Mus musculus: one gene and its partners. The protein of the gene in region 3 interacts with the protein of the main gene of each other region in a pairwise test. Links are inferred from orthologs where the notes say so. Each region holds a gene or a part of one and is shown on either strand. Other genes may lie near its edges. The genes, in order: Ldlrad1, Clec7a, Bnip3 and Bcl2.

Region 1 (5,008 bases), on a different chromosome or scaffold from region 3:
AGGACAGTGGACATCTGTGTACCCAGAGGGGCCTGGAGACATGCTTGCGCAGGGTGGGGTGGGGTGGGGAGGATTGTCTTGGTGGTATTCATTGCAGTGGGAAAGTTCATTCACTGTGGGCAATACAATTCCCTAAATGGGCTGCTGGGCTGCATGAGTGGAGAGAGAGCTGAGGAGCAAGCAGTGACTGCATCCATCCCTGTTTCCCACTGCGGGCATGATATGAGCACCTCTTCAGCTCCCTGAGTCCCTGCCACGATGGACTGGACCTGAACTTGATTTCTGTGGATGACAAACTGAGGTTCAAAGAAGCAAACGTCCTGGTCACCCCTGTTCTGGGCTGAGCCATGACACCTGTTTGATGCCAAACCCCAGACCCTTTGCTTACTTCCAGCCTGTCGTCTGTTCTAGTGCCCCTCAGAATGTGGCCTGGAGTCCCAGCTCCATGGATTCCTAGCCACATGATGAACCATTTGCTTTTCTGTGTCCCAGTCTTCTTGAGTGCTAAGCCGGCACCGTGAGGGTTACTGTAGTTTGCTGGGTGGTGTTGGTTTGTTGAATGAGTATTCTAAAACAGCAGGTGCAAAGTGTGGGCTAAGTGTTTGCTGTACGTCTACCAAGTGCCACAGTGTTCCTAGGCATTGTGGTGACAGCAGTAACAGGAGTAGCTGGCAGATGTCCCACGCTCTAGAATTGTGCTTGGCTCCCCTGATTTTTTTTTTTTTTTGTTTCTTTTGTTTTTTTTTTTTTAAGACAGAGTCTCACTATATAGCTCTGGCTATCCTAACTCACTAGATAGACCAGCCTGGCCTTGAACTCACAGAGATCTGCCTACCTTCACCTGCCAAATGCTGGGATTAAGGGTGTACACCACTATGCCTGGCTTACTTCCCCTAGTTCTTGCTTGCCTGCAAAATGAAGCAAAGCAGCTTTCCTTGGGGGCCTCGTGGGCACCTTGCTCTGTGGAAGGCAGGAAAGTAGCTTCCCTCCACTTCTGAGAGCTCTCAGCCTCATCTGGAGGGCCAGACAAGGTCAACTAGGAAGGAGGGTAGCGACTAAGTCTCCTGTGTCAGGCCACAGAAAGGCAGAGGCAGGTTTCTCTCATCCCTTGGGCTCTTAGGTTCTGAGACAGGCATTGCTCTCACTGGTGCCCTGTGTGGGTTTGTGTGTGTGAGCGCATGCATGTGCAAGCTCGCAAACTAGAGATACAGAAGACAGACAAGGGGAGGATCCTGATTTGGCTCATTTAATACACTCCACTCAAGTTTCCAGCCACCTGTCAGCAAGACCTGTGCCTGCAGTGTCAAATGAAAAGTAGCTAGGGAGATGTGGACAGGACTCTGAGGAGCTCCGGGTGATATAAGGACCTCAAGAAAACCAGCTGATTTATGAGGTGGGGCAGGGCAGAGGCCTCAAAGAGCAGGCCTTCCAGGGAGAGGGTCTGGGAGGAGAGGCCTGGTGGGTGGCTGGTGAGGATGTAGGTATGTGGGTATGTGTTGGTAGATGAGACAACAGGCCTACAGGAGGTGTAGTATACATTAAAAAAACCTAGGCTCCTAGAGCCCTGCTTGGTGGTTCCTTTGTGGTCAGCAACACAGAGTAAACTTGGGTCACCAGGGAGATCGTGTTGATACGGGGCAGCAGAGCTGGCTGAGTGGTTGTTCCTCAAATATTTGTGCAGTTCATGTTGTGTGCAAGGTGGGGCTGCAGGCAAGACTGGAGCAGCAGGCAGAGCTCTTGCCTTGGTGGCAACTTTGCGAGCTTGCACATGCATGCGCTCACACACACAAACCCACACAGGGCACCAGTGAGAGCAATGCCTGTCTCAGAACCTAAGAGCCCAAGGGATGAGAGAAACCTGCCTCTGCCTTTCTGTGGCCTGACACAGGAGACTTAGTCGCTACCCTCCTTCCTAGTTGACCTTGTCTGGCCCTCCAGATGAGGCTGAGAGCTCTCAGAAGTGGAGGGAAGCTTTAAACCCACTTTAAAGCCAGAAACTTCAGAAACTGCCCACCCAGGGCAAAGGAAGAAAAACCACACCTATGATAAGCCGCACTGAGTGACAACTTGGAAAAAGCCACCAGCATGGGGCATGACCCTGAAGCTTAGCAACCAGGGGCCTCCTTTCCGATGCCATATAACTGTGACCTGATTATTCAACCTCTCTTAGCTTCAGCTGCTTCTAGTACCCCACCCACCCAGGGTTGTCCTGAAACTGAGGTCTGCAGCCCCAGGGATCCGAGGCAGAAGGGTCTGCAAAGGGTTACAACCCTTCTTAGCATCTATCTGTTTCCTCCTTCATCAACTGTAGGCCAAGATGGACCCAGGGAGATACAAAGGTCCCGGCTGCACAGGAATTGGGGAAACATAATAAGTACAAGTGTGTGGTCCTGGCCGACTCCATCTTATGATCAACAGGAGCATCCAGGTCAGGCATGGGGGCCAGAGGTTGATTTGGAGGTCCTTGGTCTTATAGGTTCTGTGTGGTGGCCCAGCAGGCAAAAGGCACATAGTAGGCACTCAGAAAATGCTGGTAGCTGGAGAGAATGAAAAGTTCTATCCAGCAAGCAGCTGTCAGTATGGCTGGCCAGGAAGCTGGAAGCAGACCTCACCACCCACACTGGAGTAGAAGAGCTGAGTAGCCTCAGACACTCTCTACCTAGAGTCAGGTAGTTTCCAGGGAGGGACCCACAGCGCCCAGCCTGACCCCCACCTCTGTCCTTACCTTCATCTCCAGGGCGGGCTTTCCTTCTAGTGGTGATGTTACTCTCGGCATCTGCCTGGCCAAGAAACCAGAAGCAGGCTGGGCAAAATTCTGCTCTCTCACAGCCCACGCTCATCCTGGGCTTCACATTTCCACATTTCGACCCGTACAGGACCCATTCCTCCTTTGTCCTCCAAACTGACTCAGGCAGGTCCTCCTAGTGACAGTGCCCTAACACCCCTAGGTGTCCTGTGCTGCTTCTCAGTACTCATGGATCTCAGGTGGAGCGAGTCCCCAGGGCAGATGGATGTGGCCGTGGGTCCTAGGGTCCCCTCCCACAAGCCCTTTCCATCTGCAGAATGGCTCCCTAGGTCAAGAGTCAGTTCAGACCCAGGCAGCTTTTACCTGGGGGAAGACTTTGTTCATGGTTCCAACACTCATCTCCAGGAACTGAGGTGGAATAAAGAGCTCAGTGTAGAGTTCTCCACCTTGTCACCAAGGGCAGCCTGTGGGAGGGCAGGACAGCAACAGGCTTTGCTAGGGCTGTGCCCTCTCCTGTGGCACTCTCCTCCCAGGCTGCCTCCCCCACGGAGGAAAGGACAGGGGTACCTGCTCCTACCACGTCTTTCCCTAGGTTGCAGTTGGACAGTGACGCATCCAATTCCACAGATGACAAGCTGGTGTTTGTGCCTCAAGTCACACTATATGTGGGAGAGATGGAACCAAGGCTTTAACACATTTTTCTCCTCTGCATCATCAGACTGCAGGGTGGCAAGGCCCCCTGGCTGAAGGAAGCCACAGGCAGAAGTGCCATGAGTCTTGGTTCAGTGGCCAGAAGGTAGAGTTCCTTTTCTCATTGATGAACTGTTCATGTTCATTCTTCTAGACCAGAAGAATATGCACTTCTGAGGGCCAACAGGATGGCTCAGTGGATAAAGGTGCCTGCCTGAGGACCTTCGTTTGAGTCCCAGGATGAATGTGCAGATACAAGGAGAGCGCCCACTCTACATAGTTGTCCTGACTCCATACACTTCATGCGTGCACCTCTACCACACACATACACATATTAATAAATAAAAGAGAGAAAGACATATTTGAATTGTTGAAAGCATGGAGAAATATATTTTTTAGCTTTTTGGGGGTGGTATCTGGGTGGGAGCTAGCTGCTTTCCAGAATATCTTCTGTCCCAGCATGGAGTAGATTTCTTAGCAATCTAGTCTAAGGAGGAGACAGGGGCCCTGAAGCAGATGAGGATGCTCTGAGGCCCACCCCGAGGGTAGTACCCACTGCAGGTGTCCAGGAGTTCCCATCAGTGATTTCTGTGCTGGGCCATTTCTCTTGTGGTGGGAAATACAAGCCAAACCATGGAGGCTGGAGACATAGGTCGCCATCAGACTGGGCAAGCTAAGTATTGGCTCTCACAAGGACCTTGCCAATGGCTTGGGAAAGGCCCTTCCCTTCACAGGCATGTAGATGCAGGGGTGCCTGAGTGTAGGTTTCTCAGACTTGGGCACTCTGACAAGAACAGGGGACAGACGGTCTTAATGGGAAGGATCCTGGACATGCTGGTGTGGAGTGAGGGAGCTGAGGTGAAGGGAAAGACGCTGCTCACTGTTATGGGGCAGCACCTGGATTCTGCGAGGCATTTGGGGACACTGGTGAAGATGCATCTCAAAGGCACTCACCCGAGGGAAGCGGGGCACTCATCCCATCCTGCCAGCCATTGGATGAAGCTGTTGGCAATTCTCGTATCCCTAGCTTCACTGGTCTGTGGTAGGCAAGGGGGGGGGGGCAATGGCGGTTGCAAGCCAGGCTGAGAAGCCATGAAAAGGAAAAGGCCGAAGGGGGTGAATATAAACGCAAGATGGTACCTAGATTTCTTTTTTTTGTGCCAACGATAGTAGAGACTAAGAGGCACATGATTTCAGAAGGATGTTAACGTCAGGGTCTATGATTGATTAGTAATGCCTACTACAGATGTCAGAGTGGACAGCAGAGTACATTCCTGGTCCAACACATGCCCTTTAGTATGACTTCCACAGACTCTTGATTCTTTAGCGTCCCTTTGTATGTATGTATGTATGTATGTATGTATGTATGTATGTATGTATGTATCCATGTTACTCTTGCTTTTATAGTCCAGGATGGTCTCCAATTCATGGCAATTCTCCTGCCTCTGCTTCCCAAGTACTGCGAAGACAGACATGAACTATCCCATCAGCTTTGTGTTCCTTTATAGGAATCCTCCTCATCCTGCTCCATGCCTCCTCCTTTGGCCTCCTCCTTCAATGCAGGTCTAGCCA
Region 2 (4,232 bases), on a different chromosome or scaffold from region 3:
AGAATCAGGAGAACTTACAATACATGTTGAAGGAAAAGTGGGTGAGAACTACAGAAAGCATCCCTCAATACAGTTCCAATCTGCACACTCTATTCTGTCTTCACTACTCTGTTTTTATCTATCTGTGACTCCGTACCCAATAGCTGTAGTTCCTGTGAAAGTTAATGAAAGCAGGAATACAGACAAGGAAGAGGATCCCATTAGAAATTCACCTGGCCTTTGATATCAACCTGTGATTGGCAAAGAATCATCCTATTTTTGTGACCAATTCAAGAGTCTTGGATTATTTTAACCATAAAACATGCAGTGCAGGGCTGAGGATGTAGATCTGTAGAAGAGAGTTTACCTGACACCTGCCAGGCTCTGGGTCTCTTCTACAGCATTATTTTCCTTGGTAAAGCTATTATGAGTTTATGTTTGCTACTTGTACAAAAAACAAATGGCCCATTTCCCACGAAGCTGCTTGGGAGCTGGGCACTGCTGGATTTTGTGTAGTTTGTTAATTGAGGTAGAATATTGATAATTTAAGCCTATTTTCCCCCTTTAGTTTGTGTGAGAGCTTCTGTGTGTGTGTGTGTGTGTGTGTGTGTGTGAGAGAGAGAGAGAGAGAGAGAGAGAGAGAGGGAGAGAGAGAGAGAGAGAGAGAGAGAGAGAGAGAGAGTATATGTATGTATGTATGCATGCATGTATGTTTGCACACTGAACCTAGAGAGATAGGCTTACAACCACCCAACTCCAGGACTCTCCTGTCTTCAATCCCTACCATACAGGAGTTAAAGGCATGTATGGATGCACCTGACATTTTAACATGGATATTGGGAACTCAAATCGAGGTCCTCATGTGTTTGCAGCAAGCATTCTTACCCACTGAGCCATCTCCCTAGCTCACATCTTTATTAATGAATCTATTCTTGATGGAAAAATTAAAAATAACTCTAAAACACCTCTCTAGACATTCAACGATATTCAGTGATTGACAGTCCTCTCTAGATTGTCACCTTATGTGAACGTCCTTCTGTAAAAGGATTCATTCCGCCCTGGATGCCTATAGCATTGTTTTAGGATCCCCCTGATGTATGTTTGTATTTTTGTTTTACTACAGGAGTTCATTGAAAGCCAAACATCGTCTCACCGTATTAATGCATTTTGGATAGGCCTTTCCCGCAATCAGAGTGAAGGGCCATGGTTCTGGGAGGATGGATCAGCATTCTTCCCCAACTCGTAAGTTCCGGTACAGACATGGAGAGGTGGAATCCTACCATGCAGTTACAAAATCTACTTCTCTGGTCACTTATGAGAAAACGGAGTCATGGTGGCGGAGGGAGAGGGAGAAAGAGACATAGAGATGAAGAGAACAGCTCTCAGGGAGGCTGTAAAGGATGCTCTCCTGGTGCTGACTAAGGGATTCCCATGGCATCTGGTCCTTCTGGCCCAGTGAGGAGAGATGCTGTTCAGTGCAGCCTTGGACTTACCTAAGTCTGAGGTAACGATTAACCCAATCTATGTACGTGAGATATTGGACAAATCTCTGTACTTCTTTTATAGCTGCATTCTTTATCCAAAACTGAGAATAGAGTGGCTATTCTTTACAATAGTAAAGTAAAGGGCATAAAGGTAAAATCATTAGCATAATTTTTTTACAGAACCGATGAAAAATGACATCTTATGTCATTATTTCAACTTTATCTTACATTTGTGAACTTAGAATTTCTTCCTAATTGTGTGCTGAAGTCTTTGAAATGTCTATTCATCTGTTCACTAATATTTGTAAATATAAAATTTTATCCCCCTTTCAATGTATATTCCTGCATCCCTGAATCTCCCATTAATGTTAATATATATAGTCCAATTTAATTAAATTTTACTTTTTTTAAATTTTGCTAATGTTTCTCTATCCTCTTTTATCACTTTGGCTAGTGTTGATTCTCATATATATTATTACCTTTCACCTAATTTCTCTGTGTTAAGCTGAATTCTTTCTCTAAATTCTTATGTTGGATGTTTAACTCATCATCTCTAGTCTTTTTTTGGCTTTGGAGTCATTTGGTTCACATGCTTTCTGACTTCCATGGTGAGTTGCTCTTTGATCCAAGACATAGAAATAAATTTCTCACTTTTCACACATACCCATGCTTCTCACATTCCTATTTATCTTTTAGATTTCAGGCTTAGCTCCTCTGTGATCAGAGAACATACTTCATCTGGTGGTAATTCCCTCTTAATTTGTATTGAAAATGTCTACACGGGTCCTCCTATATTTCTTTAAGAGTTTCACTTGATACTTTAAAGCCATATTAAAATATTCATGTGGATTTAGAATTGTTGCATCGTCCTGTTTGATGTCACTTTCCTTCCTTCTTCCCCCCTCTCCTCCCTCCCTCCCTCCCTCCCTCCCTCCCTCCCTCCCTCCCTCCCTCCCTTCCTTTGTAATTTACTGATTTCTGTTTTGATTTTTGTTTATTTCTCATAATTCCTCTGGTTTGCCTGTTTTGTTTTGTTTTGTTTTTGTCACTTGCAGCTCACTTTGCTTACAGTATTCTCAATACTATCTATTAACTTCTAGAGGCCACTCAGGACAGTTGTTTTTAAGTCTGTACCTGCTAACTCTGTGTGCATTCTGTTTTTTCTCCTGTGCATCACTCAAGTTGGTTTGTTTTCTTAAATGCCTAATTGTGTTTGAAAGCTGATTATCAGCATTGCATTGTGAACTGTTTAGGGCTTTTGGGGTCAACTTGAAGTTCATAGAGTAACGCCTCATTTGCTTCCTGAGGATAGTGGTGGCAATGAAAAGCCCACTCCCCCACCCTCACCCAGTGTTACATCATCAGTGCTCAGCTACCTCTCCTCTACTAATTCACTCCAAATGCATTCACTAACAACCCACAGAACATACTCCTTCCTCTTCTGTGGCATTTATTCACCTTGATTTGTTTTCCCATTGTAACAATGAAACGAGATGGTTCTTTGTAACTTCATAAAATGGGCTTAACATTTTAAAATGTTCCAGGGTGGCAGTAACTTAATCTCTGCCCCCAAAACCACTTGAATGTCAGAGAAATTTTCAGAAATTACTGGTAAATATTCTCCCAGAGGTCTGGGTCGAAGCAGTTCATCTTACCCCTGCCAATTCAAGAGCAGATTTTTTCAGTCTACCAACCACAGGGTCAAGAAGAAGCAGTCGTTCAAGGTAGAGTTCAGTAGGTGGTGACTTTTGCACTATGACCCAATGATAATCCTTGAATGTGACTAATTGGCATGGCTCTTTATTTCATTCAACTCATAATACTAGCCTTTCTGAGGGGAAAAAAAACCATCATTTTCTTACCTTAATTATAAAGACAAGTCTATTACCACTTGAAGATTAATACACTCTAAGTTAAAGATTCCTCTTTAAATAATTCAAATGCCTCAAACTATTTTAACCAATGTTCTTAAACTTTCTAGCTCCATGAAAGACCTATGTGGTCTCTGTTTGTTTTAATTACCTCACTGTACTTTTTTCTAACAGGTTTCAAGTCAGAAATACAGCTCCCCAGGAAAGCTTACTGCACAATTGTGTATGGATTCATGGATCAGAGGTCTACAACCAAATCTGCAATACTTCTTCATACAGTATCTGTGAGAAGGAACTGTAAATGTATGTGAGAATATAAAGATGGTGTGTGTGTGTGTGTGTGTGTGTGTGTACATGCACACACACCACCACCACCACCACTACCAACAACAGAACAGAACAGAACAGAACAGAACAGATTAATATTAAAAAACAGAAAAAATGCTGGGATGCTAAGAGACTTTAACCTCATTTGAGAACTTGGATGAAGAAGCTGAGACTTTTGTACTTGTCATCTTCACAAAGATGGTGGCACTATCTTCCAGTTAGGAAGTCACTAGACATGGAGTGAGGGCAGCTCAACAATACAGAGAATATGTGAACCTGAGGTACCCTGACTCAAATTTCACAACCACAATGAAACCCCTACACTATCAGGAAACACTGTAGAGGAGTGAGACTGAAGACTTTAAAAGCCAGAGAATCAGCCTACTTACTGTGGTGTTTTCTAGACAGGACAGGGAAAGTATATCTAGGAAATAAAAACAATACAATTCAGCAAACAAAATCTGCATAATGACAACCTCAGTTGGTATGGTATGTTATGGTATGGTATGGGTGTAGAAGTTTCACAAGGCCCTATGAAGAACTACAGACAGTTAAATAGGGGGAAAGCTTT
Region 3 (4,712 bases):
GAACATAATGCCACAGGAGAACGATGCTATAGCATTCCCAGAAAGCCAAGCAAGGGGGCACCAAGTCTGGGGGAAGCACTGCCCCAAACCACACAGGACTTCTCCAGAAGCAGCCATTGCTGTCTCCACACCTAAACAGCCCCTTGGGTTAACTTAGGAAGTTGGCAAATGGTTCCGAACTGAATCTGCCTAGTACATAACCTAGACTACTGGCTTCCTTTTCAGTCACATACACAAATGTGCATTTTATTGGAAGTGTCTCATGCAGGCTGGTGTTAAACTCCTGATCTTCCTGCCTCCATCTCCCAAACACTAGGATCAGAGGCTTGCATCATCTCTGTACCTACTGGATTCTAAGACGAGTGAACTTATCTCTCTGCCTATTGCTAGGCTGTGCCTGTCTGATACATCCTGAGTCAGGTGGCTCCAGGTACCCCTCTGGTGCTGAGCAGTCTGTGCCAGGTCCTTAACTGAAGTAGCCATCCTTAGTTCCACTTAACCTCTGGATCTCACTAGGACTATTTACAGAGGCTAGAGCCAAGGAGAAACCCCTTCAGTGTATCCATGTTTTCTCTTCATGCAAGTCTGTCCTTGATAGTTTGCCTATAACCAACAGAACCACTCATCAGAACCAGTTGCAGACAGGGCAGCTAGCTAAGTGAAGACTTATTAAATCTATACAGTGGACCTTTCAGGAAAGGGCAGCAACCAAGGCACAGAAATATCACAATACTTATCTCTCCTCCAGCATGCCAGAAGTCATACAGAAAAGCCCTGCTCCTAAACACCTTTCAATAAGATGGAGCAGAGGTAAAAAGGGAACAGAACCAATCAGTGTTGTGGGTAACGCCTTCAGTAACGCTGGTCCCAGAGGTTGCTATGGGGAATATTTGCTGTCCCACCTACCAACAAGGCTTCCACAGCTCTCAGCCTCAGAAGTAAACACGAAGCGGCAAACAGAGGAGCTGCCTCAGCTCTGACTCCAAGCTGGGATTCACATTTCATAGGGCAGCTGAGATAACCCATGTGACTAAGTGACCCCTCCTACCCTGAGCTAGACAGTGAGCCAGTGCTGAGCTGCACGTACACCCCAAACAATGGCCCAAATCCTTAGCCTGAGTTTCCACACCGTAACCATCTTTTTATAGAATAAGTAAAAGAGAAAAACACAAAACCTTAACCCTTGAAACGTCTAATGACAACCCCCTTCTGCCAATGACTCAGCAGTCTGGCGTGCATGTCAGCTGAGTGTATGTTAACCGAGACCTCTCAGGAATACTCAGAAACTCCCCTAGATGAAGTCTTAACAGCATAGTGTCAGAAATCAAATTTCAACTAGCTACGAAAGTGACTTTACACAAAACATCACTTGATCTCTTAAGAGAAAAGACAAAAAAACTTCTCAATCAAAAAATTCCAACTGTTTGACGTTTGACATTAGGGAATAAAACCTGAATTACGAGATTTTTTTTTTAATGTGGCTGTAGTTTGAAAATACAGATTCTGTAATGTGTTAGGCTGATTAAATTCTGCCTACTAAAATCTCGTTTAGGGTAATAAATTCAGCTAACTCAGTGTCTCTGAATGCAAGCTTTTTAAAAACTCTTTTAACACAACACTGCTCTGAGTTACCCTATTCCAGTACTCCAGGACACAGAATCTCTGGACAGCATAGTCTACACAAGTTCTAGGACAGCCAGAGCTATACAGAGAAACCACGTCTTCACACTAAAGTGGGTACTGTGGCCCACACCTTTAATCCCAGCACTAGGGAGGTGGAGGCAGGCAGATCTCTGGGAGTTCACTGAGAGTGAGACCCTGCCTGGGGGGGGGGAGGGGAGTTGACACTAAAGCATTCATTTTAAAGGTTTGGAAAGCCTCTCTCTCACGTTTACTGACATGCGTTTTACCTGGTGAACTCTTGCTTCAGAGAGTACAAAGGTCAACAGGATCCTCCTCCAGTCTCAGGGCCTGAGACTCAACTCAGACTCAACTCAGGCCCACCAGGTAGCTCTCAGAAATGGACAATGGCACATAGCACCCAGGCTGGCCTTGCAAAACTAGCAGCTGTCTGCGCAGTGCTAACAGTCTGTAAAGGCTGATGCTGGGAGAGCCTTTCTGTTATTTGTGAGACAGGGTCTGGCTACAGAGCCCCGAACTAGCCTGGTACGACTGTGTAGTCCAGGCTAACCTGGAATTTGTCAAGACTCAACTTCACCCACCCCATGATGGGATTTTAGGTGTGTCACCACACCCAGCCTCACTTCCATTTTAACCTACAATCTACTTCACTGCTTGCAGTGAGCCTACTGAACTAAATTATAAGCACTTTACCCTCCTTTTGAGCTGTTGTAGCTCTCTTCCACACTACCTCCAGCCATACCCCCTCTCTGTTTTTCTCTTTGTAGACTTGGCTGTCCTGAAATTCACTCTGTAGACCAGGTTGGCCTCGAATTTACAGAAATCCCCCTGCCTCTGCCTCCTGATTGCTGGGATAAAAGGTTTGTGCCACCACTGTGCGGCTATCCCACCTCTTAACTCTAAAACCTGACAGAGGTCTGAAACCCTGTATCCTCCTCTTCCATCAGGAAGTGGCAACAAAGCAAGCCAGGGGTAAAGATTGGGGGAGAGGGGACACAGCGGCAAAGCCTGTTAATTCCAAATTCCAGCTACTCTAGAGGCTGAACCAGGAGGATCACAAGTTCAAGACCAGTATGTCTTAAAGCAATAAAATGAAAACTGGTAGTGTTGCTCGGGAAATGAGCACTTACCCAGCACGTTCAGATCTGGTTCTGTCCCCAGTACCAAGTAGGAAAAGTGAAAGGCACTACAGTCATAAATATTAATGACTTCAATCAAAGCACTGAAAATTCAACTGCAACCTCTAACTCACTTAAGCAACTCTGAACAAGGGGACGCCAAGGGCCTGAAATCTGAGCTACTCGGGAAGCTGAGGAAGGAGGATCGCAGAGTTCGAGGCTCCCCTGACCTACAGAGTCTGAAAATACAGAACTATGACAGTGTGAAGAACAGAGCAGGAAAGAAAGACCCGGCCTGCCTGTGAAGGTACTGTCTGTAAGATGCCCCGAGGCTCACCACCCAGCCCCGGCTGCACCGAACTGCATCGCGGCCTCCACTCACCGCACCCCAGCCCGCGACCCTACCGCCTCCGCGGCCCCTCTCGGCCCACTGCCTCACCCTGCAGGTTCTCCTCCCCGCTCTGCGACATGGTGGCTCGGCAAAGGAGCCCGAACCCAACTGCGACAGGCCTGGGAGGCGGTCACCGAGAGGTAGCAGGGGCAGCCTGCGCCGCTCAGTTCTGAGGCCAGGCGACACTGGACTGAGGGACAAGGGGCGGGGCGGGGCGGGACGCACGCGGCGGCGGAGCCCATTGGCTGGGGGGCGGGGCCTGCAGGTGGGGGAGGAACGCGGGGGAGCGTGTGGCACGTGCGGCGCGTGCGCCGGCATGGGCGGGGCCTGAGGCAGGAGTGCGCGGGAGGGCGGCTGTTTTTAAGGTCTAATGCAGAAGTGGACCGGGGGCTGTGCCTGAGGCTGGAGTAACTGGGACCTAGGCGGGTAGGGAAGAGTCTGGGGGCGGGGCTCGAGGTCTGAGCCTTGGGACTCCGAGGTGCGCGCATTGCAGAGGCCAAGAGGCGGGTCTTGAAGCCAGGCTGGAGGTGGGCAGACGTGGGCGGGCTCCGAGATAGGCGTGGCATGAGGACGTGCGGCCAGGTTTTTGGGCGTCTGGCCTTGGGTGCTGAGTTTGCCCCTCCTGCTCGCGGTTGACCCATAGTTCCCCAATCTCCTCCGGAACCTGCGAGCGCCAGCAATGGGAGCACACATGGTCTCGCTGTCTCTATGCACGCTTACAGATAGTTTTTTAGGTTGCATCTTTAAGAAAAATGCAGTCCGGGAGTGCTTATGTATAACTCTAGTCCCAGCCCTGGTTCGTGGCCAGGCTGGGCTGCACTGTATGAAGCTGTTTACAACAAAGCAAAACAAAAAATTTGCCAGTATTCTACTGCAGCATCAATGGCGAGTTGGGTAGTGCTGTGGTATGCTGCATGCGAGAAAGGACGGCATTTTTGGACAGGAACGGTTGGAGAGACCTTTGGAGGGCCAGTTTTGAGGATTCTGCATCCTCCCTGTAACCTACCCAGTAGCTTCTCTGTACTTGGAGGTTGGAATTCCCTCTTGATACAGTTCTGGGATAGAGAAGGGGCTTGTGAACCTCAAAAGAAGCTATCTTAGTAGCAGTGGGTCAGGTCACTAGAAGCAGCTTCATTTGGTGTTTTGTTTTTTCCCAGACAATGTCATAACCGAGGCTGGCTTTGAATTGGCTGTGTAGCAAAAGCTAACCTTGAATTTCCGATCCTACTGCTTTCGCCTCCTGAGAGCTGGGATTATAGCTATGCAGCCTTGATTTCCGTTTGTTTTGTTTGGAGTGCTAAGGTTATACGAGGGCCTTGCACATGCAAGTTCACTGCAGCTGAGCCATGTCACCAGACTGAATCTGATGTCTTTTTTTAGACAGATTCGCTTTGTAACCTACTCTGGTCTTAAACTTTTTTTCCTGCCCCAGCTTCCCAGTGGTTCCACCACTCTTAACTGAAAGCTTGCTTTCTTACAGTGCTCGGAGCTCTAGCCTAGGGCCTTCAGAACAATAAACAGATTCTCTGCTACAGACACCAAACCTTTGTCTCAACCCCCCA
Region 4 (5,015 bases), on a different chromosome or scaffold from region 3:
TCAGACAATAATGATTGCTTTCACATAACTTAATTGTTTTAGCTATAGCAAGTCTTAAGTCTGCTCTCTGCCCTTAAAGAACCAGAGAAAAGCTTAAATCACACGGTAAAATATGGAAGCTGAACCTCCCAAGATCCCAGAAAACTATCACCCCATAGATGCTCACCAGTGTTGTGGATACGAATCATTTTAACTTGTCAGGGCTGGAGACGCCACAGCTAAGTGGACTCCATTACCCCTTTCATAGGCACCCTAGATGCAAGTCCATTCAGCAGTAGAGATCGCAAAACTATGTAGAATGCAGGTAGAGAAAAGTAAGACATACAGTGGATGCAGACTTCTAAATCATCGCATATTCGTTGACGGACATGTTTAGGGTGCACACCCACCATGCCCACTGGGGACTATGGCATAGACAGACTGGATTCCACAAACATCCACGAATACCTACCTAAGCTTACCTTTTTTTTTTTTTTTTTTTTTTTTTTTTTACAAGCTTAGCTATGATTTCCAGGAAAAGGAGCCGTGTTGTTTTTCTTTGGGAAAATGTTCCCAAGTGAGTTAGAAAAGGTTTGCCTGCGTCCTCTGGTGGAGCCTGCATGTCTAGATGGACCTTTTAAAGTTTGTTAGTCCACCAGAGGAGCTAAAGATGCATAGGTCAAGAGGGAGTGTTGGAGGTCTGGTGCTTACACAGGACCCAGAACATCTGCAGCAAGCTACTCAGACGAACTAACTCTGAGAGTTACTGGAGGGATGCTATTATCTCCAGATCCTACTGGATCAAAAATGCTGGATTCTTGCTCCCTCACAGCCAGCGGGCAGGAGTTAACACAGTGTTGGCAGGGTGTGATGTACCCAGAGGAAGAGAGTGAGAGGTCAGGGGAGCAAAGCTACAAACTCGACTTTATTTCATCTGCTCAATGGCCCATTTTGACCCAGAATCCACTCACACCCCAACCTGCGCATCTTGGCCTTGAGATCAAAGCCCAGACTCATTCAACCAGACATGCACCTACCCAGCCTCCGTTATCCTGGATCCAGGTGTGCAGATGCCGGTTCAGGTACTCAGTCATCCACAGGGCGATGTTGTCCACCAGGGGTGACATCTCCCTGTTGACGCTCTCCACACACATGACCCCACCGAACTCAAAGAAGGCCACAATCCTCCCCCAGTTCACCCCATCCCTGAAGAGTTCCTCCACCACCGTGGCAAAGCGTCCCCTCGCGGTGAAGGGCGTCAGGTGCAGCTGACTGGACATCTCTGCGAAGTCACGACGGTAGCGACGAGAGAAGTCATCCCCAGCCCGGCGGAGGGTCAGATGGACCACAGGTGGCACAGGGCTGAGCGCAGGCCCAGCGGTGGCAACGAGGGGCCTGAGAGGAGACGTCCTGGCAGCCATGTCCCGGTGCACAGCGGGCATTGGGTTGCTCTCAGGCTGGAAGGAGAAGATGCCAGGGGTGGGGGCAGCCCCCAGGGGCGCCGCGTCCGCATCTCCAGCATCCCACTCGTAGCCCCTCTGTGACAGCTTATAATGTATGTACTTCATCACGATCTCCCGGTTATCATACCCTGTTCTCCCGGCTTGCGCCATCCTTCCCCGAAAAGAAGCTGCAGGTACCAATGGCACTTCAAGTCCCGACTCCCGCCCCACGGCCCCGAAAGAAAAAAAAAAAAAAAAGAATAGTTATAATCCAGCTCTTTTATTGGATGTGCTTTGCATTCTTGGATGAAGGGGTGTCTTTAGTTACACCGAACACTTGATTCTGGTGTTTCCCCGTTGGCATGAGATGCAGGAAATTTTTATTCAAATTCCTTTCTGCTTTTTATTTCATGAGGTACATTATTTATTAAGCTTTGTTAATATCAGTCTACTTCCTCCGCAATGCTGAAAGGTGAAGAGGCGGGACGACCTAGGAAGTTAAAATCAGGTGTGTTTTCCTTTATATATTTAGGGTAAGAAAGGTATATCCGCTACAAGTTACACGTTTAAAAATGCATTAAACTGTCTGGAAATGAAATTTGCTTGAATGCACTTGAAGTAAAAAAATATTTCAAACGCGTCCATGGAAAGTTATATTAAACAAAATTCCTGTGCAAAGAACTTACTGTATTTTCTAAGGACGGCATGATCTTCTGTCAAGTTTACCCTTTTTTGGTAAAACCCAAACAAATACATAAGGCAACCACACCATCGATCTTCAGAAGTCTCCTTGTATAAGCTTCTTTACAACTTGCAATGAATCGGGAGTTGGGGTCTGGGGGCTAGGTGGAGGAAAAATCAGGAGGGTTTCCAGATTGGGTCCTCACACTCCGGCTTCACTGAGAATGTCAATCCGTAGGAATCCCAACCAGAGATCTCAAGAGCACCGCAGCGGGGCAAAAAGGCAGCGGCGGCGGCGGCAGATGAATTACAATTTTTCAGTCCAGCATTTGCAGAAGTCCTGTGATTCTCCCTTCTTCTCGGCAATTTACACTTGCACACACACGCTGGAGCGCAGGCATGGATCCGTATCCACCGGACCGCTTCAGACCTCCAGGGCAGAGAGACACGCCAAGGGGACGATGGAGGAGCTGGGGGACCGGGACCGGAATCCTCTTCTGATTAAACTCCGAAGGGCCAACGCGCTTTCCGAAACGGGAAAAAAAGCAGCTTGCTAAATGCAGGCACGGACGCGCTGGGGCCGCGGGTGCCCAAGGAGCAGCCCGCGCACTGTGTGTGGTGCGCTGCGGGAGAAGGAGGTGGTGGGGGAGGGTTTGCCCCCCCTCTTTTTCCTAAAAAGGATGACTGCTACGAAGTCCCCCCCTGGTCCCCTCTTCCGCTGCACCCCACCGGCGCACCCCGCCTCCGGGCTGCGCACCCTTTCTCCTCCTCCGCTGCGGGCGGCGCTGGCGGCCGCCTCCTCGTGCTTGCGCCGCGCAGCCCGTTCCACGGTGACGGCTGCGGCTGGGGAGGGCCTGGGCACCTCGGTGTTGGCGGCGGCGGCTCGGCGGGGACCCGGACGCGGGGCGGGAGGACGGGCCGGGGAGGAAGGGGGCGGGCGCGGGGCGGGGGGCCCGGCCTCTTACTTCATTCTCCGCCGGAGCGCCTGGTTTCCTGTACGTACGTCACCGTTCATTCAAAAAAAAGAAGAAAGAAAGCCCTCCTCTGAGCGCCCGCCCGCCGCCTCCTCCCGCCGCCCGCCAGCCGCCCGGGTTAAAGGCGCCGCGGCCGCCCCGGGGAGCGCGCGCCCGGCCGCGGCCGCTGGCCTGGGTGGCGGCCACCCGCGGGCTACGCTGGGCCCCGGACCGTGGGTGGCGCGGGCCTCCCGGGCGGCAGTGGCTCAGTGGGCGTGTGAGGGGCCTCCTCGGGCCTGCGGGGCTGGCTGCTGGCTGGACGTGCCTATAGCCAGGGCCAGGCTGTGGCGAGGCACCTGGATCTTTTCTAACAGGATGGGCACAATTGCATGGATCTTTTTCAACGTGTACAGTGTGCACGACCGCATGGACTTTTTCTATGTAGCATGTGCAGGTCACATGGACCCTTTCTAACCGCGTGCATGGAATGTGCACAATCCAATGGACCCTTTCTAACCACACATAAAGTGTGTACACAGTCGCTCTGTGTGTGTGTGTGTGTGTAGTGCAGTGTATCTACAATCATGTGGACCCTTTAAACAGTGTAGTGTATACAACCACATATAGTGTATAAAATCAAACAGACCCTCAGCTAACCATGTGAACCCCCAAACACTATGTTATCAGCTCTCAGCAGCCAGAGAGATTACCGAGACATATATTGACTCCTAAGTAGTGAGTAGTACCAATATGCTACCCTTGGGTGAAGAGAGGCAACTCCCAACACAGTCTCCAGGATATTAATTACAAATGAAAATACTTAGAATAACAACGTTAGCATGCTTGTTTCTAGGCCCTTTTGTCCAGACACCACAAGCTGTGTAACTTAGAACAGGTCTGAGTACTCCTCTGCTCTGAAGAGCATGATGTGATGTCCACAACCAGCAAGGGATGTGCCTCAGAGGCTGGTCTTTCCTCATCTCTTCTTAGTCAGACAGTGGCAGACTGATGGCAGTCGCTGATGCTCTTGGCTTGTTAAAGAATAGTCAAAGTGGTATGCGGAGTTACTTTGGAGGTGTCCAAGCAGATACCACATGAGCACCCAGGCGCTTTTAGCCTCTATCCAGGCATACCCAACTTGGTGACCAAGGCCAGACCTAACTCGCAGTGGGCCAGTGAAGAGAGGAGAAGAGAACAGCAGAAGTTTGAGTTTCAGGGACAGTTTTTCCTCTGCTCCTAACGCTCCCAGCACTGGGCTGGGGCTGGACCTCAGGGAGTGATACCTGCCACCTTTCAAGGCCATGACCCTAACACGGCATAGGTACGGTTTTGGATATCCTCAGCTCTGACCAGCATGCAACCTGAGACGGCTTCAGAAGATGCAGCCATACAGATAATGTGTCTATGTACCCACAGACACACAGTGCCACTGTCACTTGTATGAACCCAGACAGAAACAATCAAGCTGAGAGATAGATACATAAAACACCAAGAAAAACTGTGCTATGTGATAACTATGTTATCAGCTCTCAGCAGCCAGAGAGATTACTGAGACATATATTGACTCCTAAGTAGTGAGTAGTACCAATATGCTACCCTTGGGTGAAGAGTGGCAACTCCCAACAGTCTCCAGGATATTAATTACAAATTAAAATACTAATGAAAACTCGTGGTTGGTGAGATGGCTCAGCGGTTAAGAACACCGACTGTTCTTCCGAAGGTCCTGAGTTCAAGTGTCAGCAACCACATAGTGGCTCACAGCCATCTGTAATGGGATCTGATGCCCTCTTCTGGTGTGTCTGAAGACAGTGACAGTGTACTCACATACATTAAATTAATAAGTAAATAAGTAAGCTGTTCGTTCACAGGCTAGCAGGTTGCCACATCGGGCTTAAGAACAGAGCACATGTGCAGGGTGGACAAGTCCCACAGGCTTGCTGGATTACTGTGGGAACAGCAC

Evidence for each region.
Region 1: the proteins of Bnip3 (region 3) and Ldlrad1 interact in binary tests that used the Homo sapiens proteins (3 or more experiments, as listed by UniProt). The two-hybrid records come from large-scale screens. The link is inferred for Mus musculus from reciprocal best matches to the Homo sapiens genes BNIP3 and LDLRAD1.
Region 2: the proteins of Bnip3 (region 3) and Clec7a interact in binary tests that used the Homo sapiens proteins (3 or more experiments, as listed by UniProt). The two-hybrid records come from large-scale screens. The link is inferred for Mus musculus from reciprocal best matches to the Homo sapiens genes BNIP3 and CLEC7A.
Region 4: the proteins of Bnip3 (region 3) and Bcl2 interact in a two-hybrid assay, tested with the Homo sapiens proteins (2 studies listed by BioGRID and IntAct). The link is inferred for Mus musculus from reciprocal best matches to the Homo sapiens genes BNIP3 and BCL2.

Annotation. Positions count from the first base shown.
Region 1 is NC_000070.6:107,207,302-107,212,309, reverse strand, and holds the start of Ldlrad1 (low-density lipoprotein receptor class A domain-containing protein 1), read right to left. Parts: upstream 3,167-5,008; 5' UTR 3,146-3,166; coding exon of another isoform or gene 3,110-3,145; 5' UTR 2,841-3,109; coding exon 2,726-2,840; intron 703-2,725; exon of another isoform or gene 389-702; intron 1-388.
Region 2 is NC_000072.6:129,462,444-129,466,675, reverse strand, and holds part of Clec7a (C-type lectin domain family 7 member A), read left to right. Parts: intron 1-1,102; coding exon 1,103-1,221; intron 1,222-3,508; coding exon 3,509-3,635; 3' UTR 3,636-4,232.
Region 3 is NC_000073.6:138,906,165-138,910,876, forward strand, and holds the start of Bnip3 (BCL2/adenovirus E1B 19 kDa protein-interacting protein 3), read right to left. Parts: upstream 3,343-4,712; 5' UTR 3,230-3,342; coding exon 3,199-3,229; intron 1-3,198. UniProt on the Homo sapiens protein: Apoptosis-inducing protein that can overcome BCL2 suppression. May play a role in repartitioning calcium between the two major intracellular calcium stores in association with BCL2.
Region 4 is NC_000067.6:106,711,289-106,716,303, forward strand, and holds the start of Bcl2 (apoptosis regulator Bcl-2), read right to left. Parts: upstream 3,003-5,015; 5' UTR 1,593-3,002; coding exon 1,017-1,592; coding exon of another isoform or gene 993-1,016; exon of another isoform or gene 877-992; intron 1-876. UniProt on the Homo sapiens protein: Suppresses apoptosis in a variety of cell systems including factor-dependent lymphohematopoietic and neural cells. Regulates cell death by controlling the mitochondrial membrane permeability. Appears to function in a feedback loop system with caspases.